Linked DNA regions of Macaca fascicularis. The protein of the gene in region 2 binds, or shares a complex with, the protein of the main gene of each other region. Links are inferred from orthologs where the notes say so. Each region holds a gene or a part of one and is shown on either strand. Other genes may lie near its edges.

The links.
Region 1: C15H9orf78 (region 2) and DDX39B share a complex: the UniProt entries of both Homo sapiens proteins name them as parts of the spliceosome. The link is inferred for Macaca fascicularis from reciprocal best matches to the Homo sapiens genes C9orf78 and DDX39B.
Region 3: C15H9orf78 (region 2) and PPP1R8 share a complex: the UniProt entries of both Homo sapiens proteins name them as parts of the spliceosome. The link is inferred for Macaca fascicularis from reciprocal best matches to the Homo sapiens genes C9orf78 and PPP1R8.
Region 4: the proteins of C15H9orf78 (region 2) and SNRNP200 are in contact, whole or in part, in a cryo-EM structure (PDB 7OS2), measured with the Homo sapiens proteins. The link is inferred for Macaca fascicularis from reciprocal best matches to the Homo sapiens genes C9orf78 and SNRNP200. Residues at the interface, in NP_057604.1 of Homo sapiens: Arg5, Lys6, Ile7, Phe8, Arg9, Arg10, Arg11, Glu16, Ser17, Glu19, Glu21, Asp23, Ser24, Glu25, Val27, Arg28, Lys30, Leu31, Thr34, Arg35, Val37, Gln38, Arg41, Arg43, Pro44, Asn45, Gly46, Val47, Ser48, Ala49; in NP_054733.2 of Homo sapiens: Val1188, His1189, Leu1190, Gln1191, Glu1201, Pro1283, Ser1285, Arg1287, His1288, Leu1289, Asp1729, His1730, Asn1769, Tyr1770, Asn1772, Gln1774, Gly1775, His1780, His1784, Leu1788, Gln1791, Asp1795, Gln1798, Ser1799, Tyr1826, Thr1827, Glu1830, Leu1831, Met1834, Ser1835.
Region 5: C15H9orf78 (region 2) and TTF2 share a complex: the UniProt entries of both Homo sapiens proteins name them as parts of the spliceosome. The link is inferred for Macaca fascicularis from reciprocal best matches to the Homo sapiens genes C9orf78 and TTF2.

Annotation. Positions count from the first base shown.
Region 1 is NC_088378.1:140,192,410-140,198,162, forward strand, and holds part of DDX39B (spliceosome RNA helicase DDX39B), read left to right. Parts: intron 1-513; coding exon 514-641; intron 642-907; coding exon 908-1,000; intron 1,001-3,038; coding exon 3,039-3,222; intron 3,223-3,272; exon of another isoform or gene 3,273-3,348; intron 3,349-4,232; coding exon 4,233-4,351; exon of another isoform or gene 4,352-5,753. UniProt on the Homo sapiens protein: Involved in nuclear export of spliced and unspliced mRNA. Component of the TREX complex which is thought to couple mRNA transcription, processing and nuclear export, and specifically associates with spliced mRNA and not with unspliced pre-mRNA.
Region 2 is NC_088389.1:14,077,673-14,082,814, forward strand, and holds the end of C15H9orf78 (splicing factor C9orf78 homolog), read left to right. Parts: coding exon 1-44; intron 45-1,370; coding exon 1,371-1,507; intron 1,508-1,614; coding exon 1,615-1,713; intron 1,714-2,665; coding exon 2,666-2,757; 3' UTR 2,758-3,629; downstream 3,630-5,142. UniProt on the Homo sapiens protein: Plays a role in pre-mRNA splicing by promoting usage of the upstream 3'-splice site at alternative NAGNAG splice sites; these are sites featuring alternative acceptor motifs separated by only a few nucleotides. May also modulate exon inclusion events.
Region 3 is NC_088375.1:207,231,765-207,238,304, reverse strand, and holds the start of PPP1R8 (nuclear inhibitor of protein phosphatase 1), read left to right. Parts: upstream 1-2,252; 5' UTR 2,253-2,274; coding exon 2,275-2,330; intron 2,331-4,187; coding exon 4,188-4,248; intron 4,249-5,836; exon of another isoform or gene 5,837-6,002; intron 6,003-6,540. UniProt on the Homo sapiens protein: Inhibitor subunit of the major nuclear protein phosphatase-1 (PP-1). It has RNA-binding activity but does not cleave RNA and may target PP-1 to RNA-associated substrates. May also be involved in pre-mRNA splicing.
Region 4 is NC_088387.1:1,368,684-1,374,436, reverse strand, and holds part of SNRNP200 (U5 small nuclear ribonucleoprotein 200 kDa helicase), read left to right. Parts: intron 1-174; coding exon 175-372; intron 373-798; coding exon 799-951; intron 952-1,059; coding exon 1,060-1,140; intron 1,141-1,430; coding exon 1,431-1,514; intron 1,515-2,195; coding exon 2,196-2,302; intron 2,303-2,608; coding exon 2,609-2,727; intron 2,728-3,000; coding exon 3,001-3,155; intron 3,156-3,242; coding exon 3,243-3,432; intron 3,433-3,630; coding exon 3,631-3,804; intron 3,805-4,772; coding exon 4,773-4,933; intron 4,934-5,516; coding exon 5,517-5,744; exon of another isoform or gene 5,745-5,753. UniProt on the Homo sapiens protein: Catalyzes the ATP-dependent unwinding of U4/U6 RNA duplices, an essential step in the assembly of a catalytically active spliceosome. Plays a role in pre-mRNA splicing as a core component of precatalytic, catalytic and postcatalytic spliceosomal complexes.
Region 5 is NC_088375.1:117,297,942-117,303,694, reverse strand, and holds the end of TTF2 (transcription termination factor 2), read left to right. Parts: intron 1-1,624; coding exon 1,625-1,769; 3' UTR 1,770-1,807; intron 1,808-5,297; exon of another isoform or gene 5,298-5,337; 3' UTR 5,338-5,508; downstream 5,509-5,753. UniProt on the Homo sapiens protein: DsDNA-dependent ATPase which acts as a transcription termination factor by coupling ATP hydrolysis with removal of RNA polymerase II from the DNA template. May contribute to mitotic transcription repression. May also be involved in pre-mRNA splicing.

The DNA.
Region 1 (5,753 bases), on a different chromosome or scaffold from region 2:
CTGATTGGACCTGTAGTCTCCCTCTGTTGGGCCAGGCCAACTGTGGCCTCTGGAAACCTCTATGACTGGTTTAGAGATGACTGGCTTCTGGGTCAGGTACCAAGTCCTTCATTTTGTCCCGGGTTGTTGTTATGTGACCCGAAGTATGGCAACCTAAGTAGGAGAAATGTCTTTAGCAGGTATTCAGATGTCATGAATTGTTACAGATTAAGAAAAATAAGGACAGAGCCAGGAGCATTGAAGGTGAGCGGTTGGTAGATGCAAGGGGGCTGTTAGTAGGACTGGGAAGGCCTAGATCTGGAGGAGGCCAAAGCTGGGATGAATTAGGAGAGTCTGATTTTGAGGTGAATATAATTGAGCAGAGAGAGGTAAAAGGGGTCTGGAAGTTGGCAAGAACCAGGTAAATACTAGATTTTGAGAATTGAGTGGTAAGAAATGGGCTTGGCATGATGAAAAAGGTTGTAGAGTTATCTGGAGACTGAAGTCTAATTTATCTTTCCTCCCCACTTTTAGTCCAGCATGAGTGCATCCCTCAGGCCATTCTGGGAATGGATGTCCTGTGCCAGGCCAAGTCGGGCATGGGAAAGACAGCAGTGTTTGTGTTGGCCACACTGCAACAGCTGGAGCCAGTTACTGGGCAGGTATATTTGGGGAGAGTGCTGGGGAAGGGGTTTTGGTTAGGACTATAAGGGAAGGGTGTTTTTGTCCTAGCTACATGATGACCTCGGTTACCCTTGACAACCTGACAGCTGTGGGGAATGTTCTATCCAAGCATGGGGTTCGTGATTTAGATCACAGAATTGAAGTCATTTATTATCGGCCCAGGTGTGTTTTTGTCAGTCACTTCCCTAGAGGGAACGATGAAGGGCTACACTCATGGTATGTCTCGGTCTACTTCCTGCCTAAGGTGTCTGTGCTGGTGATGTGTCACACTCGGGAGTTGGCTTTTCAGATCAGCAAGGAATATGAGCGCTTCTCTAAATACATGCCCAATGTCAAGGTAAGCCGAGGTAAAGAGACCTCAGAGTGAGGGTGTGGCAAGTTGGAGGGATAAGAAACTTGTAGGCCAGTAGTCTCTTTAATTTTGGAGAAGTTTTAGTTTGCCATGGTTTAACAGTGTTAAGATCCTATGTAACGGGAGGATTCGTAATTGGGCTATGGATGATGCTTAACCGAGACCACCCTTTTTTTACTACTTTATACTGACTTTGAATCCTATCAGTTTGGTAATTTTGGGGTGTGTGGCAGAGAAAGCCAGAAACTTTAAAACAGCTTCAGGGGTGTGTGAATATTGAGGATTCTGGCCAAGTGCGCAGCGGCTTACACCTGTAATCTCAGCACTTTGGGAGGCCAAGGCATGTGGATCATTTGAGGTCAGGAGTTCGAGACCAGTGTGGCCAATGCGATGAAACCCTGTCTCTACTAAAAATGCAAAAATTAGCCGGGCGTGGTGGCACACACCTGTAGTCCTACCTACTTGGGAGGCTGAGGCAGGAGAATCGCTTGAACCCAGGAAGCAGAGGTTATAGTGAGCTGAGATTGTGCCACTACACTCCAGCCTGGGTGACAGAGTGAGACTCCCATCTCAAAAAAAAAAATCTGATTGAAGTTAAGCATTTTTGGCAATTATCCTTCATAGGTGATGCTGTATCTCCTGTTGTGCCAGAAATCGGGTTGACTTATGTTAGTTATTTTTATTTTTATTTATTTGTTTTGAGATGGAGTCTTGCTGCGTCCCCTGGGCTGTGAGTGTAGTGGTGCGATCTCAGCTCACTGCAGCCTGCACCTCCCAGGTTCAAGCGATTCTCCTGCTTCAACCTGCTGAGTGGCTGGGACTACAGTGTGCCATCATACCCGGCTAATTTTTTTTTTTTTTTTTTGGTAGTGACAGGGTTTCGCCATGTTGGCCAGGCTGGTCTCGAACTCCTGACCTCAAGTGATCCACCCACCTCGGCCTCCCAAAGTGCTGGGATTACAGGTGTGAGCCACTGTGCCTGGCCTCATTAGTGATTTTAGGTTTACCATAGGATTAGCATCGTGACAGTCTGATTCCATGGTCATTCTTTTCCCCCTTAAAACTAGAGTTTCTGGTGTTATTTGACACTGTACCAAGGCCCAGATCCCTAACCAACTATTCACCTAATGGTTTTAACATGAAGTGATAATATTTCACCCAAAGCAGTAATTTCATGGGGTTTGTATGAAGGAGTTTGAGATTCTGGGTTTATTTAGGAAAACTTAATGTTCCATGTGTTTTTTTGTGGTACTTTATACTAATCCTGGTAATTTCTTGCCGTCCTTTATTTATTTATTTTTTATTTTTTGAGATGGAGTCTCGCTCTGTCATCTAGCCTGGAGTACAATGGCTCAATCTCGCCTCACTGCAATCTCCACTTCCTGCATTCAAGCGATTCTCCTTCCTCAGCCTCCTGGCTAAGTTTTGTAGTTTTTGTATTTTAGTAGTAAATTTGTAAATATTGTATTTTAGAAGAGATGGGGTTTCACCATGTTGGCCAGGCTGGTCTTGAACGCCTGGCTTCAAGTGATCCACCTGCCTCGACTTCCCAAACTGCTGGGATTACAGGCGTGAACCACCGGGCCTGGCTTTATTTTATTTATTTATTTATTTATTTAGAGACGGAATATCACTCTTGTTGCCCAGGCTGGAGTACAATGGTGAGATCTTGGTTCACCGCAACCTCTGCCTCCCGAGTAGCTGGAGTTATAGGCGTGCGCCACCACACCTGACTCCTTTATTTTTAAAATGAGGCTTGGCCTCATAAATGAAGGAAGATGGTTAGATTAAGTCAGAAGAACTGAATTATTGTCCTGACTGCTCCGACTAGCTATGTAACTTTAGGCAGTCACCCTCAGTGTTTGGTGGGGGGACATAACATTTCTAAATTAGGTGACCTCTAGAGTTAGTTTTAGTTTTGAAACATGCTAAAAATTGGTTTAGCTCAAACAGTGGGAACTCTGGGGGGATTGGACTCTTTCCTTCCTCTTTTTTGAGACTCTTTGCTCCTGGCTCTCGGCAGGTTGCTGTTTTTTTTGGTGGTCTGTCTATCAAGAAGGATGAAGAGGTGCTGAAGAAGAACTGCCCGCATATCGTCGTGGGGACTCCAGGCCGTATCCTAGCCCTGGCTCGAAATAAGAGCCTCAACCTCAAACACATTAAACACTTTATTTTGGATGAATGTGATAAGATGCTTGAACAGCTCGGTGAGTGGCAGTGCTGGGACTTGGCTAATGCTGGGGAGTTGTTCTTTGGAGCCAAATGATGTTTATTTGAAACAGGAGCGCCTCAGTGCAAGGACGACTCTTATCTATCACCCATGACTGATGGCTCTGGGTTCCCTGGTTGGGCTTTATTATGCTTTTAAGCACAGTAAAGGATGTCATCTATCATCTTTCTATGATTTTTGTTTTTAATCTTTGAGAATAGGGGACTTCGGTAATTTCAGGCCTAAGTTATCACCACCACCACCGTTTTCATTATAGATTCCTATACTGGAAGTCATAGGGGAGATTCTAAACTGAAAGAGAAGACAGTACCCTTCTGGCATCTCCAGCACAGCATTTACAGTCAGAATTTATAGCTGAATAAGTTTCTAGACTCAGGTCTGGGATTAATGTAGAGAGGGTAGCAGTTCGTGTGGTGTGGTATTCTAGTGTGCCAAGTGGGGTTAATGGAAGTTTTTTCTGTAAGATTTGAATCTTGGTGAATGAGTGTGGGGTTGGACATAGGCCCCATAAGTCATTACAAATGGTCTTCGGCAATTCAGTGTGGTGAGTTATAAAGGTGGGCTCCAGGTAGCAATGTCATATTTGCCTGAGTTGATAGAAAAGTGATCCAGAGAGTCATAGATGGACTCTGCTACCTGGAATGTAATATATGGTTGATACTTGTAGTCTCCTGAGGGCTGGCTGGGGCTTGGACAGGAAAGGATTGGGAGAAGGGCCTGTAAAGCATGTTTCGAAGGCCTTGAGAGCGTCTGCACTGGGCTTTGTCCCCGTTTTATAGTTGGGAACTTTGGGGTTTTATCTTATTTCTTGCTTGGTTAAAACGAACAGCTGGAATCTGATCCCAATTCTTGATTCCAAGTCCATTGCTTTTTCCGTTGTGTTATTACTATTTCCAGCAATCTTCACCTCACTGGAAAGTCTACCTCTAATCTTTGTTTATCATACTTGCTTATTTTCTCCTACAATTTTTTTCCTTGTTCTTGTAGACATGCGTCGGGATGTCCAGGAAATTTTTCGCATGACCCCCCACGAGAAGCAGGTCATGATGTTCAGTGCTACCTTGAGCAAAGAGATCCGTCCAGTCTGCCGCAAGTTCATGCAAGATGTAAATACCCTTCTACCTTCTCTCCCTCCACTCCCCGCCCGCTGCCTCCTCCCCTTCCTCGCCCTCTTCCTCAGACTCCCTTGTCATTCAAGTGCCAAGAAGGCGGCTTGTGCCCAACTGGGAGTAATGACTCCTTGAAGAGACATACAGAAGCAGAGACAGCTAGTGTTAGGGTCTGCGCGGGTGCCAGGGAAACTCCGGAAGACTTGGTCGGGTTAATGTGAGAGCGGGTAGTGTTCGACTTTTTCAAAAATCACAACATTTTTGAACCTCTTCTCCCTTTGGGGGAGGGCAGAATTTTTCTGCCCTACCACCCACCCATCGTCTCTTACGTGCCCCCTACAGCCACGCACTGTCAAGGTGGCGTCGAGCATACAGCTGGAGCCTTCTGCTCACCAAAACTCCTACTTTCCGGTGGCAGGAGAGCAAGAGAGGGACAGACAGATGGCAGGGCATGTCCAAAAGAAGAGCATCAGCACAAATGAATCCTCCCCTTCCCCACCTCCAGGGGTGGGGGCCTTTGGCACCTCAATCCCCGATACCCTACTCCTTCCCACCCACATCTCCTTGCACCCATCTGGAACCTCGGTTGATGTGAGCCGGCAACAGAGAAGCACCGTGGCGCGGCGAGGGAATGCAGACGGCACCCAGCGGTGGATGGCGGCAGCGGAGGCCGCGGGGAAACCTGACCAGGAAGCTGAGGACCAAACCAGCCTCTTTTTCCGTTCCCGGTTTTTTTCCTGAACCCAACGCGTGCCGTGCCCCGTTTCCCCCCATATGTGTTGGGGAGGGGTGTCCTCAATGGGGTGGTAGATTTTTTTTTTTTTCCTTAAAAAATTTTTTTGTTTTTTTTAATACTCAGAGGAGAGGGACATAGGAAAGGTAAAGTGGATGTAATCGGGTGGGTGTTAGGGTTTGGGGCTAGGTGGGGCCAATTGCATAAGCAGTGGAGTGTGTTCTCCCTGCAGTGTTCCTTCCCGTGGGATGATAACTCTTTAGCTTTATTTGGGGCTAGAATGAGATTTGAAGAAGGCCATGGAACTTCTCTTTAGAAAGCCTGCCTTGGCTGGGCCTGGTGGCTCACCTCTAATCCCAGTGCTTTGGGAGGCCAAGATGGGAGGATTGCTTGAGCCCAGGAATTTGAGACTAGCCTGGGCAGTGTAGTAAGACTTTGTCTCTACCAGAAAAACCAGGCGTGGTGGCGCATGCCTGTAGTCCCAGCTACTTGGGAGGCTAAGGCAGGAGGGTTTGCTTGAGCTTGGGACACGGAGGCGGCAGTAAGCTGTAATTGTGCCACTGTACTCCAGCCTGGGTGATAGAGTAAGACCCTGTATCAAAACCTGCCTTTTGGGATTGGGCTTCTGTTTTTTCCCATGACATACCCATCCTTTCCTATTTTGTC
Region 2 (5,142 bases):
AACCAGATGCTGAGTGGCATTCCTGAGGTGGACCTGGGCATCGAGTATGTTTGAGACCCATAGGCAGAAGACACAGTGCTTTCCAGTTAAAAGTTATGGGGGACAGGCCAGGCACGGTGGCTCATGTCTGTAATCCCAGCACTTTGGGAGGCTGAGGTGGGTGGATCACAAGGTCAGGAGTTCAAGACCAGCCTGGCCAAGATGGTGGAACCCCGTCTCTACTAAAAATACAAAAATTAGCCGGGCATGGTGGCAGGCACCTGTAATCCCAGCTATTTGGGAGACTGAGGCAGGAAATGGCTTGAACCCGGGAGGTGGAGGTTGCGGTGAGCCAAGATCATGCCACTGCACTCCAGTCTGGCGACAGAATGAGACTCTATTTCAAAAGAAAAAAAAATTTATGAGAGACAGGTGTGGTAGCTTACGCCTATAATCCCAGTACTTGGGAGGCCAAGGCAGGAGGATCACGTGAGGCCAGGAGACCAGCCTGAGAAACATAGACTCCTGTCTCTACAAAAAATTCAAAAAATTAGCTGGGCTCTCACTTGAGCTCAGAGTTGAGGCTACAGTGAGCCATGATTGCACCACTGCACACCAGCCTGGGTGACAGAGTAAGACCCTGTCTTTTTTTTTTTTTTTTTTTTTTTAAAAAAAAGGTTAGACATGGTGATTTGTGCCTGTTATCCTAGCTCTTTGGGAGGCAAAGGTGGAAGGATCACTTGAGCCCAGGAGTTCGAGACCAGCCTGGGCAGTGTAGTGAGACCCCATGTTCTTATCTGTGTTCTTAGAATCCTACAAATACAAACGAGATTGTCTCTGGCAGGTTGTTGCTAGAAGTTTTGCTGAAGGCTTGGCCAGAGTAGTAAGGGCCCCTGGCTGCTGAAAGCAGAAGTGGTTCTTTAGCCTCTGTTGACAGCTGTATCAGGCCCTTTATTCTTCTGTTTTCTTCTAGCAGGGGCCATGTTAAAGGCTCACCCACCCCTTCTCCCTATGATCCTTCTTAAAACAAAATATCCACTTTAAAAGGGAATTGTCATGAAAGAAGTGCAATTGTCAGAATAATCTTTTGGTACAGTAGAAAGTTGGGAAACTTCTAGGCTCTTTTCCGGCCTTGCAAACTTTGAGCCTTAAGCATTTTACTTCTCTGAAACTCAATTTGCTCTTGATCAGAAGAGCAGAGTAACTGTGGTTCTCTGACGGCCGTGAGAGTTCCGTGAGAATGTGACTACAAGTGTGATTGGTAAACTGGAGAGCTGTGTCCCAGGACACATGATTTTCTTATGTCCTGCTGGGCTGCCAGCCTCACCACTCACATCTGAGTAGTAAGGTGCTACCATCTTCTAAGTGGTATGGTTTCTTTCTCTCCATAGTGCTAAAATTAAAAATATAATTTCCACGGAGGATGCCAAGGCCCGTCTGCTGGCAGAGCAGCAGAACAAGAAGAAAGACAGCGAGACCTCCTTCGTGCCTACCAACATGGCCGTGAATTACGTGCAGCACAACAGATGTAAGCCCCTCAGGGAGAGCGGTCTTGTCCCCTTTCCCTTATTTGGGCTGAGGTCCCTAGGAACCTCATGTTCCGTCTAATGTGTCCCCTGGTCTCTTTGGGTCCAGTTTATCATGAAGAGCTCAACGCACCCATCCGGAGAAACAAAGAAGAGCCCAAGGCCCGGCCCTTGAGAGTAGGCGACACGGAGAAGCCAGAGCCTGAGCGTGAGTGCAACAAAGGCCCCGGGGCTGCCTGGAGTGCTCAGCTCTGTGGGGGCCCATGGAGGCAGGGTGCAGCGGGGGACAGTGTGGAGGTTGGCACTGAAGCTGGGGCATCTGGGTTCCAGTCCATGCTCTGGACCATGACTATGTGCCTTCCCCTTTCTAAGCCTCAGTTTCCTCATGGGAATCCTAATAGAACCTACCTGTGTTAGGATTGCTCTGAGAATTCAGTATCAAGCATACAATCTCATATTCTCAAGCACAGTAGAGACTCAAGAAGTCAGAAAATTTCAGTAAGGACAAATAAAAGCTACTCATAAGGTTAGCTGAGTGCAGTGCCTCACACTTGTAGTCTCAGCTGCTGGGGAAGCTGGGGCAGGAGGATCGCTTGAGACTGAGAGTTCAAGGCTGCAGTGAGCTATGATTGGACGACTACACTCTAGCCTGTGTGACAGAGTGAGACCACATCTTTTTTTTTTAAAGAAAAGAAAAAGGTATTGGCCAGGCTCGGTGGCCTACGCCTATAATCCCAGCACTTTGGGAGCTAAGGCAGGCAGATCACCTAAGGTCAGGAGTTCAAGACCAGCCTGGCTAACATGGTGAAACCCCGTCTCTACTAAAAATACAAAAATTAGCCAGGCATCGTGGCAGGTGCCTGTAATCCCAGCTACTCAGGAGGCTGAGGCAAGAGAATCGCTTGAACCCGGGAGTTGGAGGTTGCAGTGAGCTTAGATCATGCCATTACACTCTAGCCTGGGCAACAGGGTGAGACTCCATCTCAAAATAAGAAGAAAAAGACAAATAAGTGTCTACGGAGGCCCTACTATGTTCACTGGGTTAGGCGCTGGGGCTCCTGTGGGGAAGGAAACAGGCAGTTGTCTTTGCCTACCTGGAGTAAAGTCTAGCAGTGGGTTCCAGCATGGCAAGCCACCTTTCCTGTTCTTTTCCTTCTCAGGGTCCCCTCCTAACCGCAAGCGTCCTGCTAACGAGAAGGCAACTGATGACTATCATTATGAGAAGTTCAAGAAAATGAATAGGCGGTACTGAGCTGTGCAGAGTGGGATGTAAATAGCGCCTTCCTCTCCCTATATCCCTCCCGTGAAACATGGCTTCCTGGCCGGGCATGGTGGCTCAGGCCTGTAATCCCAGCACTTTGGGAGGCAGAGGTGGGCGGATCACCTGAGGTCGGGAGTTTGAGACCAGCCTGACAAACATGGAGAAACCCTGTCTCTACTAAAAACACAAAAAAGTTAGCCGGGCATGGTGGCACATGCCTGTAATCCCAGCTACTCGGGAAGCTGAGGCAGAAAAATCACTTGAACCCGAGAGGCAGAGGTTGCGGTGAGCCGAGATTGCACCATTGCACTCTAGCCTGGGCAACAAGAGCAAAACTGTCTCAAAAAAAAAGAAAAGAAAAAGGGCTTCCTGGACAGAGCATGCTCATTTGCTAGCGAACAGTTCCAGAAACAGACCCTATTGGTCCTTCTGCTTACCTGCTGGATTTTTCAGGCACTAAATTTATAACTTTTTGAAACAAAACAATGTGTAATTTTCCATTTGGGGGCAAACTCTATTCTTGTGAGCATTATTAAATCTTGTTTGTAAATATATTGTCTTTTAATATTTGCTCTGGGTCAGGAAGAAACTGTTCACGGTGTGATAATACCCTTTAGATTGTGCTTTCATTATTATAGATGCATCGTGTCTTCTGCTTTCACGTATCTGGGATGGGGTCAGACATGCATCCTCCATTGATTAGAGTGGGTCCAACTGACAGAAAAATCTAGGATGAGATCAGAAGGATACTGGTGTTTTCTGACTTTTACAAAATTACTTGTTTGTTTTCATTTAAAAAAAAGCATAAACTATGTTTCTTATTACTATTAGAATTGAATTATTAAATTTCAAAATGAATCTAACCATATTGTTTGTATTATGTTTCCTTATACCAACATCAGGTAATGTTTTCAAAGCCCATGGTTTGGGTAGCTAAATGTAAAATTGAATTACTGAGATGGATTTTCTCATTTATTTCAAATGTCATAGACGTGCTGCAACCTGCTAACTGTCAAGTACCTTCTTACCTGTGCCCTCATTTTTCCTGAGGCATCCACATGGTCCGGAAGAGGAAAGAGCAGATTGGCTGACTTACGGGCGGAGTTAGAGCAAGTATTGTGGTTATGGTGGTTTGGCCCAGGAGTCACATCTGAGCCCAGCTCACAGCTTACTAATTGTGTCCTTGGACAGATCCTTTTCACTCTTAGCCTCAGTTTTCTCATCTGTAAAGTGGAGACTTTTTTGTCCTCCTCCACTTGAATGTGGTCAGTGAAGGCAGGAACCATGTATGCCTAATTTTTAAATTTGAAACCCCAGGGCATAGCCCACAATCTGACACATAGGCAGCCCTCAAAACTGTGAATGATCCCTATAGTGTCTGGCTTGTAACAAATGCACAAAAGTATTATTTGAAATCCAATATGAAAAGTTGAACCTTAAAAAATATTTTCAGGATATTTCAACTAGCATTTAACAGGTCCCAACGATGTACAGGCGTAACCCAAGATGAATACTAAAGGCCTAGCACATCTGGCACACAGCAACGCAACACGTGTTTATGGGATGAACAGGCAAATAAGTGGATGATCAACAGTTCTCACTTGCCAGAGTTCCCTTTGCTGGAAAATGAGTAATCTTTTACCCAGCTTAAAAGTGGCCACCAGATGGAGGGAGCCAGGTCTCTCACTGTTGGGGTGGGAATTCACAGATAAGCAAGGGGAGGAGGCTCCAATGATCCGTGTAATGGATTAGAGTTGGAGATGTCAGCATGAGCTCATGTTTAGCTTAATATAAGTACAGATGTTTACCTAGAAATATTTATAGATATGTGTGTGTGTTTAATAGTATATACACACATTTTTTTGTTCTGTCAGCTGAGACTGCCTGAAAGAAATGACATCTCAGCAAGAAGCACACCTAGCACCCAGAGCTTGGTTTCTTTCTTTTTTTTTTTTTTTTTTTTTTTTTTTGAGATGGAGTCTCGCTGTCACCCAGGCTGGAGTGCAGTGGCATGATCTCGGCTCACTGTAACCTCCACCTCCTGAGTTCAAGGAATTCTGTTTCAGCCTCCTGCATAACTGGGACTATAGGCACATGCCACCATGCCCAGCTAATTATTTTGTATTTTCAGTAGAGATGGGGTTTCACCATATTGGTCAGGCTGATCCCAAACTCTTGATCTCAGGTGATCCACCTGCCTCAGCCTCCCAAAGTGCTGGATTACAGGCACGAGCCACCATGCCCAGCCAGTTTGTAATGCCATTCTACAATGAAAGGAATCAGGGTTCCTCGTAGAAATAGGATTCTGGGACGGGGGCAGGAAATATACAAGATGAGCCTGGAGCATCCTGTAGTGGCAGAAAGGAAAGAAGCACT
Region 3 (6,540 bases), on a different chromosome or scaffold from region 2:
GACATCATTGGTGCCCAAACAAAGAGCATTTTGCTTTATGAGGGCCTAGGTAAGCATAAGGTGCCATGTGTGAATATCTACTGTGCTAGAAACAGAACATGGCCAAGGAGTAAAGAATTAGAAGGGTAAGATGTAGCTTTTAGGTTTCCTGGGTCTATAGTCAGCAATAGAAGGATCACACAAGCTGAGAAGTTGAAAGACAAAGTTGCCATAAGATGCTATCAGGTCACTGCTAACTAGGAATGGCTTCAATACCATGTTATGCCTAAAAGGAGCATAGAACCTCAAAAGGCTCACACGATTTCTGTAGATGAAAGTATCTTGTTCTTTTCTGTTAGACTCAAAAGCTTTTGGGACTAATTCCTTCTCAAAAATCATGCCCTGTATTCAAAAGAGGGGGACATAGGATTATTTCTGTTTTCTTGAAACCAAGTTTAGAATTTGAATTTTTCCAGTCAGCCTAGTCTTACTTTGGAATCACAAGGCTGAAAAGGAGGATATTAACAGGCCATTTGATAAGTGATCTGATTAGTCACCATCCTTGCTGGATAAGTTTATCGTGCTTTAAAGGCCAGAGGAAAAGGGGTTTCTCCAATCTACCTAAGAGTTGATCATCTTCAAATCCAAGTTAATGTTATATTGCTGTTACTTTTTGGATCATCTTGCTCCTTCTAAGTTATATTGCAGTTACATTTTGAGGGCTGGAGACTTCATCAAGGGCAAAAAATCTTTTGAATAGGCTGATTTTCTACAGAACCAGTGGCATGGAAGCAAGAAAAGAACTACTTTCATCATAGATTCCTTAACTTGCTGAGCAGTGCCTCTTTCTGGATGACAGGAACTTAGCAATTGATTTATTTAAAAAAGGAAAAACCAGTCAGATAATCCTCCCAAGGCGTCTACAAAAGTGAAGAAGAGGGGCATCAGTTGCATGCTAATAATAAACATAATTATACCAACATCAAAGTGTGAGAGAGAATAGTGATTCATGAGCATGGCCTTTGGCATCATACAGGTTTAGGTTTTTTTATCCCACTCACCACTTGTTCTAGGGTGAGGCTGGGCAACTCAATCTCTCTGAGCCTCTCCTCTGGAATTATAATAATACCTAACTCAAGAGCCTTGTCAGGATTAAATGAGATGATCCATATAAAATACATACTTGCCAAGGTAAGTGCTCAACAGACAATGCCATTACAACCAGAGGCCCTGCTAATGGTCTCTTTCAGTCATCTGGTGATCTAGGGCAAACCAGCAATCCTAATGCTTCCTTGCACTATAACCAAAAGCAAAAAATCCTTTTTTAAAAAATTAACCATTTGAGCCAAGCACAGTGATGATTTGGACCCCTGCTTTCTGACTGGACCTGCTCCTGGCTCCAGCTTGTCCAGAGTTTTCATAAACAGACCAGGTGACCCCTAATGCAGATTCCCTGATAATCTACAGGCCTAGACGTGGATTAGGAAAAAAGTGAGTAAAGTGCCACTTTTTGGAGAAGGGCTGGATAAGTAGAAACAATAATCACTCCAATCTCCAAGTTTTGCCCTTTAGCTTCTCTGCTTTGAGGGCAAAAGGCTGACGGTCTTAACCTAAACGTTGGAGGAGGATGCAGTCCCCAGATTTTTTCCTTCTCTTTTTTTCTTTTTTCTTTTTTTTTTTTTTTGAGACGGAGTCTTGCTCTGTTGCCCTGGCTGGAGTACAATGGCGCGATCTCGGCTCACTGCAACCTCCGCCTCCCGGGTGCAAGCGATTCTCCTGCTTCAGTTTCCCAAGTAGCTGGGATTACAGGCATGTGCCACTAACCCCGACTAATTTTTGTATTTTTAGTAGAGACGGGGTTTCACCATGTTGGCAAGGCTGGTCTCGAACCCCTGACCTCAAGTGATCCGCCCGCCTCAGCCTCCGAAAGTGCTGGGATTACAGGCGTGAGCCATCGCGCCCGGCTTAGTCCCAAGATTTTAGAGCCCAGAAGCGTTTGCAGAAGGACGCAGGGAGAGACTGACTCCCCTCCCTACAAAGTCGCTTTTCCTTTGATACCCCCTGGCCAAGGAAAACCATACACTGGAGACTTCCAGAGACGGCCAACTCGCACAAACGGTGGAAAAAAAAAAATCCCAAAACCTACACTGTCCCCACTAGAAGCACCGCCCCCCGTACGCGCGTGCGTGCGTGAGCGTGCGTACGCACAGGCTGCTGGGATGCCGCTTTTCCCTTTTCGGTCTTCCAGTTTCCCGGCGTGCTTCGGGCCCGCCAAATGGGAGGGGGAGACGCAAGATGGCGGCAGCCGCAAACTCCGGCTCCAGCCTCCCGCTGTTCGACTGCCCAACCTGGTGAGTGGCGGGGCGGCCAGGGCTAGAGTGGCCTGGCCGGAGCTAGCCTGGGCTGGAAGGGCGGCTCTTTTTTTACTTTTCTGCTGCGAGCCGAACGGCTCAGAAACCCTGGAATGGTTGAGGAAAAACTGTTCGCTGCACCGGGCCGGGCGACGTGTTGAAGAACCGAGAGCCTGGAGCCCAGGCCCAGGAACTGAAGAAACACGGGGTTGGGGGCTCAAAGGCGCTCACTTAGGCAGCCCCTTTGAGCGATTAGCCAGTCGCTGGAGCGCTTTGAGGCCTTTGCCCGAACTTACGCCCAACTCCTGACTGAGTGCCTGGTGCTCTCATGGAGCATCGTACCTGGCCCCTTCCTGTACGTCCCGAGCGCTCTCGAGCCAGCCCCTGCCCCAACCCTACGTCTGAGCCCCGCATCCCTCTTTGGTTGCTGCATCCCTCGTGCGGCACTTTTCTGTCTGCCACAGAGAACACGAGGGTAGGTTAGCGCCCTCCCTGCCCTCAGGGAGCTCCCAGTCTGTGGCACGAGTAGGCATTAGTAATGGCTGGCATGAACCCTTTTTATCCCTTCGAAAGTTCTTGAGAATAATGAAATAATTTGGCCTTTGAGTAGAGTACAAGTTGAATAAATATGAATTACCTTACAAGGAAACGCTTCTGAAATTAAGAGTTTTTTTCTGCTGTAGCTGATCGCAGTGTATTGTTTGTTACTTGTCTCTGTCTCCCGTTATATTGCCATCGTCAAGGGCAAATACTGCATCTTTGTATTCCCAGCTCCAAGGCCTGAGTCAGGCACATACAGAAAGTATATTTTGGATGTAACATTCCTCCTTTTTCGTGGACAAAATGGCCTTTTGTCCGGTGCACTGTCCTTTCCATAGAGGAGGGGTTGGGGCAGGATTGTTTGAGATGACTGTGTTGCATCTTCAGTTAGCTAGACAAGGATACGTTTTTTTCGTGTGCAAATCTAGAGGTTCTAGTGAGGTGGTTCTTTTTTCTAACTTCAAATTAGCAAACCCAAAAAGCAAGCAAATGTGTGGCTATTTTCTGGATCGCTTTGCACTTTTGTAATGGTTGCTTCAGTCTACAAATTCTATATCCGTTTTGATCCTTCGCTGTATTGATTTCAAACTTGGACCAATACAGCAAACGTAGTTAGAAAGCACTGCTTTGAGATCACCTACCCTTTCCTTAGGGTCTGGTAGGTACCAGGCACTGTTAGGTGCTTTGACATATGTGAGTCTCCCTTGAATGATATGGCTGTAGGAGTATAGAGGAAACTTCCCTTAATCATGCTGTTGTAGAAAGACCTGTTCAAGGGTAACATATTCATTTGGTACCTGGTTTCATGGGGCATGGTTTTGAATTGCCCTAGTTCCCTAATTATGCACCTCTGATTTGGTCTCAGAGCTCAGGACAGTACTCTGCTTACTCTGTGATGAGACTAATCTTGATCAGCCCCAAACAGCAACTAATTTATTCGATCTTTATATGATATTGGAGTAGGGGTAAATTTCAGATTCAAACTCCAGGTGACCAGACCACTCCAGCTATCGTACTTACACTCTCTATGCAGCTCTTTCTCTGAGGTGAAGATCCAGTGTTAAAATATAGGTTTCTTGGTGCTGCTCTAAATACAGATCCACTAAAATCTGTTTCAGAGCAGTTGAATCACTAGGGAAGTAAGTGTCAAACGTAGAATGGAGCTGTAATAACAGTGAAGTGGATGACATTTCTGCTTGAACATGAACTAATTATAGGCTGGCTGGTAGGAGAGCTGCAATGTTGAATGGGACAGTGATTGTAAATTGCATTTATAAACTCATCGTGAAAATGCTTTTTTCTATTTTTATTTTTCAGGGCAGGTAAGCCCCCTCCCGGTTTACATCTGGATGTAGTCAAAGGAGACAAACTAATTGAGGTATGGAAATACATGTCTTCCTTTTTTGCCCACCACGCTAAAGATTTTTGCCAGTGACTCACTTTTCCACCCCCTCTCCTGTGCTTTGTTTTCCAGCAATGCTACTTTCTTTCATCCTGATTTTTTTTTCTGTTAAAAGCACATGGTGACATCACACACTTAAAGCTTGTATCTACCACAGACACTCACTTTTTTGTGACTTCTCTCAAATGAATGGTTTTAATAGGTCATGGGTCCTGTGGGCCCCAGTCAAACTGGAAGCCCTGTTAGCTTGGTTAATTCCCTCTCCCTGAGTACATGGAGTTGTGTAAACCGTGCAAGGTATGCAGTAACTGAAGAAAGTGAATGATATATGTTGAGTTTAACTTTTAAGTTAATTTTAAGAGATTCAGGCCCAACTCCTTATAAGAAATATGGTAAACTAAGACGACACTTACTCAAAAAGATAATGGAATTGTGGTGAAATTCATTAATTGATTCTTTGAAAACATGTATTGAGTGTTTACTATGTGCCAGTTACAGTGCTTGGCTTACAGATTGCAGCAGTAAGCGAAACCAACATGATTTCTCTCCTCAAGTCTTCCAGTGGAAGAGACAGAATCACACCAAAAAATTACATAGTTATATTTGAATTAAGTACTATAAAAGTTTAGCAGAATTCCAGCTTTTATACAAGCCTCTAGAGAGAACATCACATAGGAGTTCAAGAGAACATGAGTTTTTATTAGCTATTAGTTTACGTAAATTTTTTATAATCCTTATGGTATTATTTATTTACCAAGAGATGGATATTAAGCCCACCATGACCATGTAGCTGTGAGTCTCCCTGTATTAGACCAATTTTATATTTGCTTGCTCAGCTAGAATTTAGGTTCAAGGCCCCATTATTGAATGCAGTTTTTTCCTTGTGGTTTTTTGGTATTTAATAAAAATGTTGCAGTTCCATGGTTGCTAGATTGAAAAGCTATCTGAGATCTTTTGAAGGTTACTCTGTAAATATATTGTTGTCACTTTTGGGATTTTGTAGAGATGACCAGGTATTTTGCAAAGTATTAAGGCATGCATGAGTTTTAATGATTTCTCCTGTTATGAATACATCATGGACTCAGCCAGTCACAGAGAGCCGCTTTATCATGGGTTCTTCAATCTTAAAGATTTAAAACTTCAAGATTATTCAAAGAAATAATTTAGCTAAAATATCTGTAAAACTTTTTTTTACTACGGATTGTTCCACAGTTACAAAATATTTGTTGCTAAATAGCACAAAGCTTGAAGACATATAGAGATTTGTTTTATTACTAGAATTTAGCAAATCTTTAGTTTGCAACAGGAAGAAACAGACAGGGTTGCCTAGTCTTAATGATAACATCACATTCCTTTGTGGAATAATTGGTATTATATTTTCAAAACACTCTAACTTGCTAGACACTCCCCTGATCATTGGTTTCTATTAGCTGATAACGTTCTCTTTCGGTGTTGTTAAGTGTGCTGAGTTGCCACAAACTTGTCAAGTTAAAATCCTCAGACATCACTGTATTCTTGAGAGGTGTAGACCTGAGATGTGCTTATTTTTAGATTTAAACTTAATCAGCACTTGATACTAACCTAGCTATCTATATCCTAGCTTTGTATCAAAGGCTTGTGATGTGTTGTGATAGCTGGGTTTAAGAAGTGCAACATTAAAACAAAAGCCATGAGTCTTTTAAGCCCAGTGTGTAAAGATACACTCTGAGTTATAACTCAGAGGCACAACTGGATAGTGGTACTGGCCATAGCTAGTCAAGAAGCTATGGCTTTAGTGACTGTTGAAAGCCAGTGCATTATTTCAGTCACTTGGACAGAAGCAGCACATTGTTCAACATCTGACACATTTCCTTGGTTCTGAGACATACGGTTTTTTGTTAAAATTCCGTTCATTTTGGCCAGGCTCAGTGGCGGCTCACGCCTGGCCTCCCAGCACTTTGGGAGGCCGAGGCGGGCAGATCACCTGAGGTCAGGAGTTCAAGACCAGCCTGGCCAGCATGGCAAAACCCCGTCTCTACTAAAAATTAAAAAATTAGCCAGGTGCAGTGGCACGCACCTATAATACCAGCTACTTGGGAGGCTGAGGCAGGAGAATCACTTGAACCCAGGAGGCAGAGGTTGCAGTGAATGGAGATTGCACCACTGCCTTGAGCCTGGGCGACAAAGCAAGACTCCATCTCAGGAAAAAAAAAAAAAATTCATTTTAACATTTCTGTAATTGGGATGCCGGCCGGGCGCGGTGGCTCAAGCCTGTAATCCCAGCACTTT
Region 4 (5,753 bases), on a different chromosome or scaffold from region 2:
TTACCAAGATCTTAGAAGATGCTTAGATGTTTTTACTAATGAAATGCTGAACACATTGAGAATATGATGTAATATGCATCGTTGTAGCTGGGAATTTCTAAGCAATTCATGGTAGCCTTTCATTTGGACATCAAGAGTTTCTTCATACTAAGAACCATGAGCTGTGTCTTGTAGGACGCAGTGAACTGGCTGGGCTATGCCTACCTGTATATCCGAATGCTGCGGTCCCCAACCCTCTATGGCATCTCTCATGATGACCTCAAGGGAGATCCCCTGCTGGACCAGCGCCGACTAGATCTGGTTCACACGGCTGCCCTGATGCTGGACAAGAACAATCTGGTCAAGTACGACAAGAAGACGGGCAACTTCCAGGTGCGTGGGGTGAGGGTTTTGAGGCAAAGGTCTCAGCAAAAGTTACTGGCCCAGGAGAAGATTTTCCAGATTGCTCTCGACGTGAGCACTGCCTGTCTAATCACCCGTTGCTTAGAACAGCAGAAAAGTGGTTGCTTTTCCTGTAACTCGAAGTGGATAATTTAGCTGTCTTGTCTGTGCAGGCATCATTTCACTATGGGTCAGCTTATTGTGCCATTTTTCTTCATGTGCCTGGGCCTGGCCTGGCACTTGCACTGCTGTGACTTCATCCAGTTGTCCTATTAGGACAATAACTTATAGGACATTGAGTCATATACTTTACCAAAAATCGCACAAAAAAACCTATAAGACAATAACTTACGGTCCACAGTTAGAGGCGGGAGCTCATTAGTAGTCAGCACTGGATTGAGCCAACCTTCTCTCCAGGTGACAGAACTGGGCCGTATAGCCAGCCACTACTACATCACCAATGACACTGTGCAGACTTACAACCAGCTGCTGAAGCCCACCCTGAGTGAGATTGAGCTCTTCCGAGTCTTCTCGTTATCCTCTGAGTTCAAGAACATCACAGTGAGAGAGGTGAGCTATGCAGTGTGCTGGGGCGGGGAGTTGGTGCTCAGCGAGTTGCTGAATGGTTTCCCTCCTCGGCCACAAGGCTTTCCCTTGACCTTTTCCTGCTTGTGGCAGGAGGAGAAGCTGGAGCTGCAGAAGTTGCTGGAGAGGGTGCCCATCCCTGTAAAAGAGAGCATCGAGGAACCCAGCGCCAAGGTGAGCGCCGCTCCTCTTTGCTTTGGTCAGGATGAGGATTAAGTGGTTTTCATAATCTTCTAAAAGATGAACCTTGAATTTGGGTTCATGTGTGGTAGCCTGCTCAGTTCTCCTAGTTTTTGCAGCCTTCTCGCATGTTCTTTTTATATGAAATAACAATTATTTAGTATTTGTAAATCAAGACCTGTAGAAGATCTCACCTGGCCTGGATGCTCAGAGCAGAAATGTAATTCCCTTTCTTGGACTGTTCAGTGGTTGGTCTCCTGCTGGCTGATTTTGCTTCTTTACAGATCAATGTTCTTCTGCAAGCCTTCATCTCGCAGCTGAAATTGGAGGGCTTTGCCCTGATGGCTGACATGGTGTATGTCACACAGGTGAGGGTGGAGTTGTATGGGAGCTGTGAGAAGGGGCTGAACAGTTCAGTCCCTGTGTTCTGTGTGCCTGCTGGGAAAAGGAGGCCTGATGCTAGTGAGATGGAAGGAGTGTTCAGTTCTGCTCTTGCGGGGTCATTGGTTGGTGCATGTGTGGTACAGCCACTCTGTAGTACACATCTTGAGCACGTGGGAAAGGTAAGACCTTAAGAGGGAAGGCTTCAAGGCTCCACAGGCCCTCAGACAGGAAGAGCCACAGCACACGGTGTCTGCTTCCCGGCAGCGAAGTGATGTCCCACTGTTGCTGCACAGCTCATAAATAAATCCAAAAACGGCGCGGGGTTTTATTAGCTGCTCTTCATCTTTACCTCTAAGGACAGGTCACTGTACCCTCAACTCTTCCTAGAACTCTAAATGCTAAATGAGTCAAAAGCTTTAAAATCATGCAGTGAATGTTAGGTTAAAATGTTGTGCGGTGACCTTGAGCCGCACTTTTCTAATTGTTCCCCATTCGGCAGACATCTACTGTATAGGAGGGAGAAAGGCGTAAAGACGGGGGACTTTGCCTTTGAGTTGGGGTGGGTGGTTGTGTCAGAGCTGGAGGTAATGAAACCGTGTGCAGAGTGGCTCACAGGCTTGGGGATAGTCAAGACTTAACAGTGGGAATGATGCTTCTTTGCCTAGTCGGCTGGCCGGTTGATGCGAGCGATATTTGAAATTGTCCTGAACCGAGGTTGGGCACAGCTTACAGACAAGACGCTGAATCTCTGCAAGATGATCGACAAACGCATGTAAGGACCCAGTGATCCGGATGCTGGTGCCCATGAGTGGGGTCCCCAGCCCAAGGGTCGTCTGATCTCCAGACCCGACGTCTGAAGTCTGATCTGAACCTTGTTGCATGTTGAGAAGAGGGAAGGCCCTCTGTGGTCGGGCCGGGGGGTAGGAGAAAGGTGGAGGCCAGGGCTGGCACAGCGTCAGTGTCTGCCTTTAATCACTGTGTCTTGTGTGGTCACTGCTGAACTTTCGGAAGCCATGATGTGGACGGTTTGTCACATCCCTGCAGAAGGGACCAACAGCTTTGCCTCCTTCCTGGATAGGTGGCAGTCCATGTGTCCTCTGCGCCAGTTCCGGAAACTCCCTGAGGAAGTAGTGAAGAAGATTGAGAAGAAGAATTTCCCCTTTGAGCGTCTGTACGACCTGAATCATAATGAGATCGGTGTGTGAGATGCTCTTGCCCTTGTCTTCACTGCCTGGGTGTCTCTCCCAGTCTGCCTACGCAGTCTTCCGTTCCTAGCCCTGTGCGTTAGTATCCTGTGTTCCCTCCCCAGGTCCCATTGAAGGGCTGGCCCTTGGTCTGGGGACTTGGAATCCTGGGCTCCACTGACCATAAAGGGAAGGCCCTACTCCTTTCCTGCAGTGGCCCTCAGGCCCAGTTTGCCGGATAGTGGGCAGGCTGGGCTGTAGCCTTAGTACTCGCATTTCCTCGTAGGGGAGCTTATCCGCATGCCAAAGATGGGGAAGACCATCCACAAATACGTCCATCTGTTTCCCAAGTTGGAGTTGTCGGTGCACCTGCAGCCTATCACACGCTCCACCCTGAAGGTGGAGCTGACCATCACGCCGGACTTCCAGTGGGATGAGAAGGTGAGGCTCTGCTGGGCAGAGGAGCTGGATTGGTGGCGCGCTGTCTACGTTGACTCGCGTTCCTTTCACCCTTGCTTCTGTTGGCAGGTGCATGGTTCATCCGAGGCTTTCTGGATTCTGGTGGAGGACGTGGACAGCGAGGTGATTCTGCACCATGAGTATTTTCTCCTCAAGGCCAAGTACGCCCAGGATGAGCACCTCATTACGTTCTTCGTGCCGGTCTTTGAGCCGTTGCCCCCTCAGTACTTCATCCGAGTGGTGTCTGACCGCTGGCTCTGTGAGTGTCTCCTCTCTCGAGTCCCCAGGAACAGTCCCTCCAAGGACAGTAGAAGAATGTCTTGCACTTTGTCCCGGGCTTGCCTTTGCTGGGGACAGAGTGATACATATGCTGCCTAGGTTTCCAGTGTCCATGGAGGGGATCTAGAGGCCAGTGAGGTAAAGAGAGCTTATCTCCTTCCTGCTTCTTTTCTGGTAGCTTGTGAGACCCAGCTGCCTGTCTCCTTCCGGCACCTGATCTTGCCGGAGAAGTACCCACCTCCAACCGAGCTTTTGGACCTGCAGCCCTTGCCCGTGTCTGCTCTGAGAAACAGCGCCTTTGAGAGTCTTTACCAAGATAAATTTCCTTTCTTCAATCCCATCCAAACCCAGGGTAAGTGTTTCCATCCCTCCTCTGGAGGCTTTTGAAGTCACCAGGAGACAGATGTGTTCTGTGGCAGGCAGGGGAGTGGGGGCGCTCAGGCACTTGGTAGGCCTGGGAGCTCCTCAGCGTGACCCCTGGGGCCTACCGGGACTTTTTCCTTTGTCAGAAGCCTTGGTTTCTTTGCTGCTCTGCATGTGTCACTGTGGAGGGGCAGTAGAGCAAGGCCTTACATGGCATGGTTATTTCTCAGGCCCAGGGGGCTTAGAGGCCTGCCCCTGGCACTCAAGTATTGAATCAGAACCATGGCGTGGCACTGAGGCCTCCTCCCCCACATCATGATAAATAACAGGGACATTCACAGAGCAGGCACTGTGGTCTCAGTCCTTGGCTGAGTACATCACCAGTGTTTTGTCTCTTACTCCTCCCACCAAGCCTAAAAGGAGTCACTGTTGGAGATACTGCCATTAGCGTTCCATTTTATAGGTGAGGAACTGAGGCATAGGGGGTGCCCCAGTTGAACCAACTGGTAAATAGAACTTGTATTTTAATTCAGTGTTGATGCCAGGGCTAAGGCTCTTACTTTCTACCTTAGGCTGTTTCTAGGAAATGTAGGAGAGTGTTGAAGGGGCAGAGAAAGGGATCCAGTTCCTTTCTGTCCTGCATCCTAGTCCCTGAGAAGCAAAGAACAATGTGTGGCTTCTTTTGCTTTGCTTTTGTTGTCATCCCACACATCTCCAGGGGACCTGGGCTCTTGATCTTGGCCTCTTCCCCTTTACCTGTTAAGTGGTAGCAGGTGAGGGGGTACAGCAGGGCCGGCCTGGAGTTAGAGGCTCGGATGCCACTGCTCCTCTGTCTGCACTCCAGAACTGCCTGACTTCATTTCTTATGTTGTCCTTTGTTTTGACAAGTGGTCCACGTCCCAGTCCGTCTCTTCTTCCCTCTTGGTACTCACACTGCTTCTTTCTGTTGGTTTCCAGTGTTTAACACCGTGTACAACAGTGACGACAACGTGTTTGTGGGGGCCCCCACGGGCAGTGGGAAGACCATTTGTGCAGAGTTTGCCATCCTGCGGATGCTGCTGCAGAGCTCAGAGGGGCGCTGTGTGTACATCACCCCCATGGAGGCCCTGGCAGAGCAGGTATGACATGGCGCTGTATCACGTGAATTTGCCCAGAAGCATTTCATCTGTGATTCCATATGAAGGCTTTTTTAGGCCGGAAATTTGCAGGGTCATTTCTTCAGTTTGTGTATTAAAGAAAAGCCGCCCCAGCGAGGCGTGGTGGCTCACGCCTGTAATCCCAGCACTTTGGGAGGCCGAGGCGGGCAGATCTCCTGAGATCAGGAGTTCGAGACCAGCCTGGCCAACATGGTGAAACCCCGTCTCTACTAAAAATACAAAAACTAGCTGGGTGTGCTGGCACGCGCCTGTAATCCCAGCTACTCGGGAGGCTGAGGCAGGAGAATTGCTTGAACCCGGGAGGCGGAGGTTGCAGTGAGCCAAGATTGCACCACTGCACTCCAGCCTGGGCAACGAGAGTGAGACTTCATCTCAAAAAAAAAAAAAAAAAAGAAAGAAAAGCTGCCCCATCACATAAAGGCTGCTGTGGGATTAGAACGTAGCTTGAGATCAGCAGGTCTCTGGCATCTCAGGTTTTCCTCAGGTAAGTGAAAGATGCCTGGTATGACCTCATGTTGTTCGGCCTCCCTCCTCTGCCTGCCAGGTATACATGGACTGGTATGAGAAGTTCCAGGACAGGCTCAACAAGAAGGTGGTACTCCTGACGGGAGAGACCAGCACAGACCTGAAGCTGCTAGGCAAAGGGAACATTATCATCAGCACCCCCGAGAAGTGGGACATACTTTCCCGGCGGTGGAAGCAGCGCAAGAACGTGCAGAACATCAACCTCTTCGTGGTGGATGAGGTCCACCTTATCGGGGGCGAGAATGGGGTATGGCGC
Region 5 (5,753 bases), on a different chromosome or scaffold from region 2:
ATTCATTCCTCAACCTTTGCAAACTGGTTTTTACTCCTGTTGCTGCACTGAAATTGCTCTTGTTAAGGGGCACCAATGACTTCCAGACTTTGCCAAATATAGTGATTATGACAGTCTTCCTATGCTCTCTTCTCTGCTTATTCTGTGCATTCTTTCCTTTACAAATTCCATGCACTCCAGTAAGTCCAAAATTCATATCTTTAGTTCCAAGGTCTCCTAAACTTTAGATCTATCGCAGTCCCTGCTAAATATCTGAATCCGAGTGTCCACATACTCATCTGCTATCCTTTCTTTTATTCATTGTTCATTTGAGCATTCAGCCCATAAAACATACCTTTTGAGCACCCACTATGTAGCAAGTATAATAACATGTTTCAGGTATTCAAATGTTACAAATCAAAATTGATTTTCTCTTCCTATTACCTCAAATCTGCTATTCTTCTGTAGTCACTGTCTTTGTGAATAGTATCACTCTTTATCTAATTATATCTAGCCAGAAACTAGACTCCCACCTTTCTTGCTTTTTCATGTACCAAGTCCTTTAGTTGTATTTTCTAAATGTTTCTGATAACCATTTCTTCCTTCGCATGCCCACTGCCAGGTCCCCTCTTCCCACTCCACTGAATTCTGTCCTCTGCATCACCACCAAAGGGCTCTTCCTAACTAATCAGTCTGATTGTGTCATCCACTTCTCATACTCTTCGGTAGCTCTCACCTCCTATAGGATCAAATCAAAATGTCTTAGCATGACATACACCGCCACCCGTGATCTGGCCCTGCCAGCCTCTTGAGCCTTTGCCATTTTGGACAACATGGTGAATGTGAACTTCCTCCAATACACCATGCTCTGAAACTCAGCCATGGTTTTGCACCTCTTCCCATTCCCTGGGGTGCTCTCCTCACTGCTCTCTCTGGCACACCCTTGCCCATCATACAAGTCTCATATTAAGAGTTAACTCTTTAATGGAGCCTTCCCTGACTACTCTGGACACATTTCCTTTTCTTCCTTTTGCACACAGCACATACTTCCATTATAGCACTTACCAGGTCATATTATTATTGTTGTTTATTTTCATGTTTGTCTCGCTTGTGTCCTGCTCCAGAGAAAGACCGTATTCATCTCTCCATCCCCACACCTAGCATAGTGTAGTGAGTGCTTAATCAATACTTTTGAATGAGTGAATGAATGACAACAGTGCCATTTACTTGGTTTGAAAACCCTGTTTTTAGTGTGAATTCACTAAAAAATAGATACTCTACTTAAACTAGCAGAAATTTGATAACCTTTGAGGCCTTATGGACTTACCAAGGTAGAACTTTTCAGGTGAAAGTGGATCTCTATACTTTTTTGGATTGTGGTATCTTTTGCTTATTCTGAATTTTTTCAATTACCTTAGCTTCACAAAGTATTAGAATGTCAATGTGAGTCACATCCTTTCAAAGGGACATATATCTAGTCAAGGTTGTTTGAATCCCTCAAACAGGGTTCTTAACTGGACCTAAGAAGACTTAAAGGAAGAAATCTCATTAAAAACTGAAGCATAATAAAAGTTTGAATGTATTATTAGATGTGCTGCTTTGGTTTTTGATAGTTTGCTTATTTTTTTTTGTTTTTGTTTTTTAGATTTGTTTGTGAGGGAACAGTAGAAGAAAAGATCTTACAGCTCCAAGAAAAAAAGAAAGATTTGGCCAAACAAGTTCTATCAGGGTCTGGAGAATCTGTCACCAAGCTCACCTTGGCTGACCTCAGAGTCCTTTTTGGCATCTAACCTCCCATGGATAAGGGCTCAGAATAGCACCATTGCTGGTTTGTATTAGGATCTGGGAATAACAACCTAATCATGAGCCTTGAACTCTGTTCTTTGCATTTCAATTTCACCATCAAGCCTTTCACCTTCCTCAAAATGAGGCATAATCTTATCCCCAGAATTGAGGAGGGGTTATGTTAGCCAATTAGTTAACCAATTATGTTAATACGTCAATTTATTTAATGAGTGGTATGGAAACCATTTGATTTTTTTAGATAAAAGAAAATATTTTAGAGTTGGATGATTTTGGAAAACAACTCTTGCAGAATTGTACATAAGCTTCAGTAAAGTTAAAAAAGCGGGCCAGGTGTGGTGGCTTATGCCTGTATTCCCAACATTTTGGGAGGCTGAGGCAGGAGGATGGCTTGAAGCCAGTAGTTCAAGACCAGCCTGGGCAACACAGTAAGACCCCATCTCTATGAAGAATAAATAGATGAGCTAAGCGTGGTAGAGCACACCTGTAGTCCCAGCTACTTGGGAGGCTGAGGCAGGAGGTTTTCTTGAGCCCAGGAGGTTGAGGCTGCAGTGAGCTGTGATTGTACCACTGTATCCCAGCCTGGGTAATATAGTGAGACCCTGTCTCAAAAAAAAAGAAAAAAAGCTCAAAAAGTTCTGTGTTGCCTATCTCTTCTTAGCTGATGATGGGAGAACCACTATTACTACCTTCTGTAACACAGACGCCATCCTATCTCTTTTTTTTTTTTTTTTTTTTTTTTGAGACGGAGTCTCGCTTTGTCGCCCAGGCTGGAGTGCAGTGGCCGGATCTCAGCTCACTGCAAGCTCCGCCTCCCGGGTTTACGCCATTCTCCTGCCTCAGCCTCCCGAGTAGCTGGGACTACAGGCGCCCACCACCTCGCCCGGCTAGTTTTTTGTATTTTTTAGTAGAGACGGGGTTTCACCATATTAGCCAGGATGGTCTCGATCTCCTGACCTCGTGATCCGCCCGTCTCGGCCTCCCAAAGTGCTGGGATTACAGGCTTGAGCCACCGCGCCCGGCCTCATCCTATCTCTTCATCTCTTCTTGCCAGTGATGTTGCTCCTGTAACCATCTTTTTGTGGGTGGAGCAGAGAGTCGATCCCTGCAGCCACCCTGCAACCAGCCATCTCTGCAGTTCTCTCAGTGCAGGCAGTTCTTCCTCTCAGACTGAAGGTCAAGGAGATGCTTTGTACATGAACAGATGTTGAGTATCTGTATCATTGTATTGTTTAGTGTCAGTGTATCATTTAGTGTTGTATATCACTCAGTCATTTAATATTGGTTATCACCATATCGTTTAGTATCATTTGGTTCATTGTATCATTTAGTATTTCTGTTATATCATTTCTATTATATGTAGCATTTGTATAATATTTGTGTCATTTTTAATAGTATTTGTATTTTTACAAATTTATAGTATTTGTAGCATTTAGTATCTTTGTTTCATTTAGTATTTGGTATAATCTAATAAATACTAATCCAGTCCAATACTAATCCAATCCAATACTAGTAATACTATTGGTACAATCCAATACTAATAATACTAACAGTAGTATTGACACAATCTAATAAATAATGTGTTTGACAGTGTAGCAGAAATAATGCTATGTGTTCATCAAACCCATTTCCTTTTCCTCCCGGGCACCCAGAGAGACTGTATTTCCATCTTGGCTGCAGTTTGATGGGGTCCGCATCAATAGACTGTGGAGAGAAGTGATGTAAGTCACTTCTAGGCTGCCCTCTACCACTTTTCAAAAGATCATTCATGCTGTTTCTTCCCTCCTCAGCCTATGGGATGCAAAGGAACTGATGGAAGATTACAAGGCCCTAGGGAAGGTGAAGCCACTAGGCTCAGCAGTTCTTAGCCTAGTTTTTGGCCATCAGCCCTTCTATTAGACTAGTAAAGCCTCAGTCCCGGGATGGCTTCCCCATGTGCACTTCCCCCCTCGCACCAGCTCACCTACACTGGACTATGACATGATCAAGGAATCTTTTTTTTTAAGCTACTGAGATTTTTGTGTTGTTTATATAGCAGTTTGTACCCTAATACAAACACTTGAGATTTTATACTTCAGGAAACTATTCAGATTTCCTTCTTCTCATTAGCAATTATTCCAAAAACACTTACTCTGCTAATTTCTGCTAGAAAGAATCACAGTTCTTCTTACATAGAAATATTTCTCTCCCTTGAGTTGGGAAACAAGAGCCTGTGTTAACCCAGTCACAGTGTGGACTGAGGCATTCGGAGCCTGTTCAAGCAGAGGTTTTATATAAGGACAAGATCTAAAGGCTTACAAAGGTAAAGACAATGGCCTGGTTGGAAGAATTCTAGTCTAGAACTGAGACTTGACTCTAGTTCTAGGTTCATCTTAGCTGGGTGTATAACGTTGAAAAAAATTGGCCGAATGCAGTGGCTCATGCCTGTCATCCCAGCACTTTGGGAGGCCGAGGCAGGTGGATCATGAGGTCAAGAGATCAAGACCATCCTGGCTAACATGGTGAAACCCTGTCTCTACTAAAAATACAAAAATTAGCTGGGTGTGGTGGCACGTGCCTGTAGTTCCAGCTACTGGGGAGGATGAGGCAGGAGAATCGCTTGGACCCGGGAGGCGGAGGTTGCAGTGAGCTGAGATCGCGCCACTGCATTCCAGCCTGGCGAAAGAGTGAGACTCCATCTCAAAATCAGTCAATCAATCAATCCTCACTTTCTCTACATTGTGATTTCCTCATTTGTAAGGCGGGCAGTTTTCAGAACTTAGCAGCAGCAAGGTTTCTGATAAGAAGCAAAGGAAGTAATATTGCCTTTTTGAAGTTTTGCTATAAGATAGACACACCAAGGTAAAGATTGAGTCACTTGAGAAGCAGTGGCTCCCAGGCCAGCAAGAATGTACAAACCTGGCTCTGCCATTTGCTGACTGAAATTAGGCAAGTTGCAGATTCCTTGGACATCTCAATCCTTTCATCTGTAAAATGTGTGGATTATCATGTATCTCATGCTCCGCTGGGAATATCATAGCAAATATATATACTATAACATGTTTGACCAGATAGATCAGTAATGTCAACTAGAAGGTGTTGGACGAACATTGTCAGTCTCCAGTCAAGCCCTGTTTAGGGGAGAGGAATTCTTTCAGGTTCAAGTATTCTGGCTTTTAGTTTGGAGAGGGATGCAGGGATTGTAACCTATAATCTTCAGATATTGAGGCCACTGACAAGTAGTCTACTGCAAGGTAGATGCCTCCTGGTATTTTAAAACAGATTCTCTAATTTCCCTTGTTATTGTACGCAAGCAAAGCAACCTAGTTATGTCTTGGGTAGGTGTTCTCATAGCTGTAAGATGCTATTGATTTGATGTGGATGCAGAAAGAAATGGAACCACTGCCTTAGTGGGATGGAATATACCAAACATGCATTCTTAAATCCTAGTGCTGGGATGGAAATGTCTCATGTATTAATGGAAGTGGCATTCTGGTATCCTACCTCAGGCTCATATTCATTTTAGTGTAAATCAGTTTCTTTAGGTATGACAGGGTGGGTCATTGTACCTTCTAGCGATGGACAGCATCCCACAACGTAGTGGTCTAACTGAAGTGCTGCACTGAGTCCTGCCTGTCAACCAGCCTTCCTTCATGCGACTACTGCTGCTGGATTTGCTTTTTACATCTGCCTGTTGCACCTGATTTGGTCATGGATGATATGAGGTAATAAATGCTTTGAAAACCATGGAGGGCCACACAAGTGCTAGTGTTATTGCTGTGGGACAAGGTCTGGGAATATGAGAACCAGCAGCAGCACGGGTGCAGCTGAGACCCAGATGGTGAACGTCTGTCACCAAAGTGCAACATTCCTGAGCACCGGATTTACAAGGTATTTCTTACTCGACAGAACTGACTTCATGGAAGGTTTGTAGTTTGACTTTGCCTTGGCCATGTTGATCAAATAGGAGTATGGTGCATGCCACAGCTGGG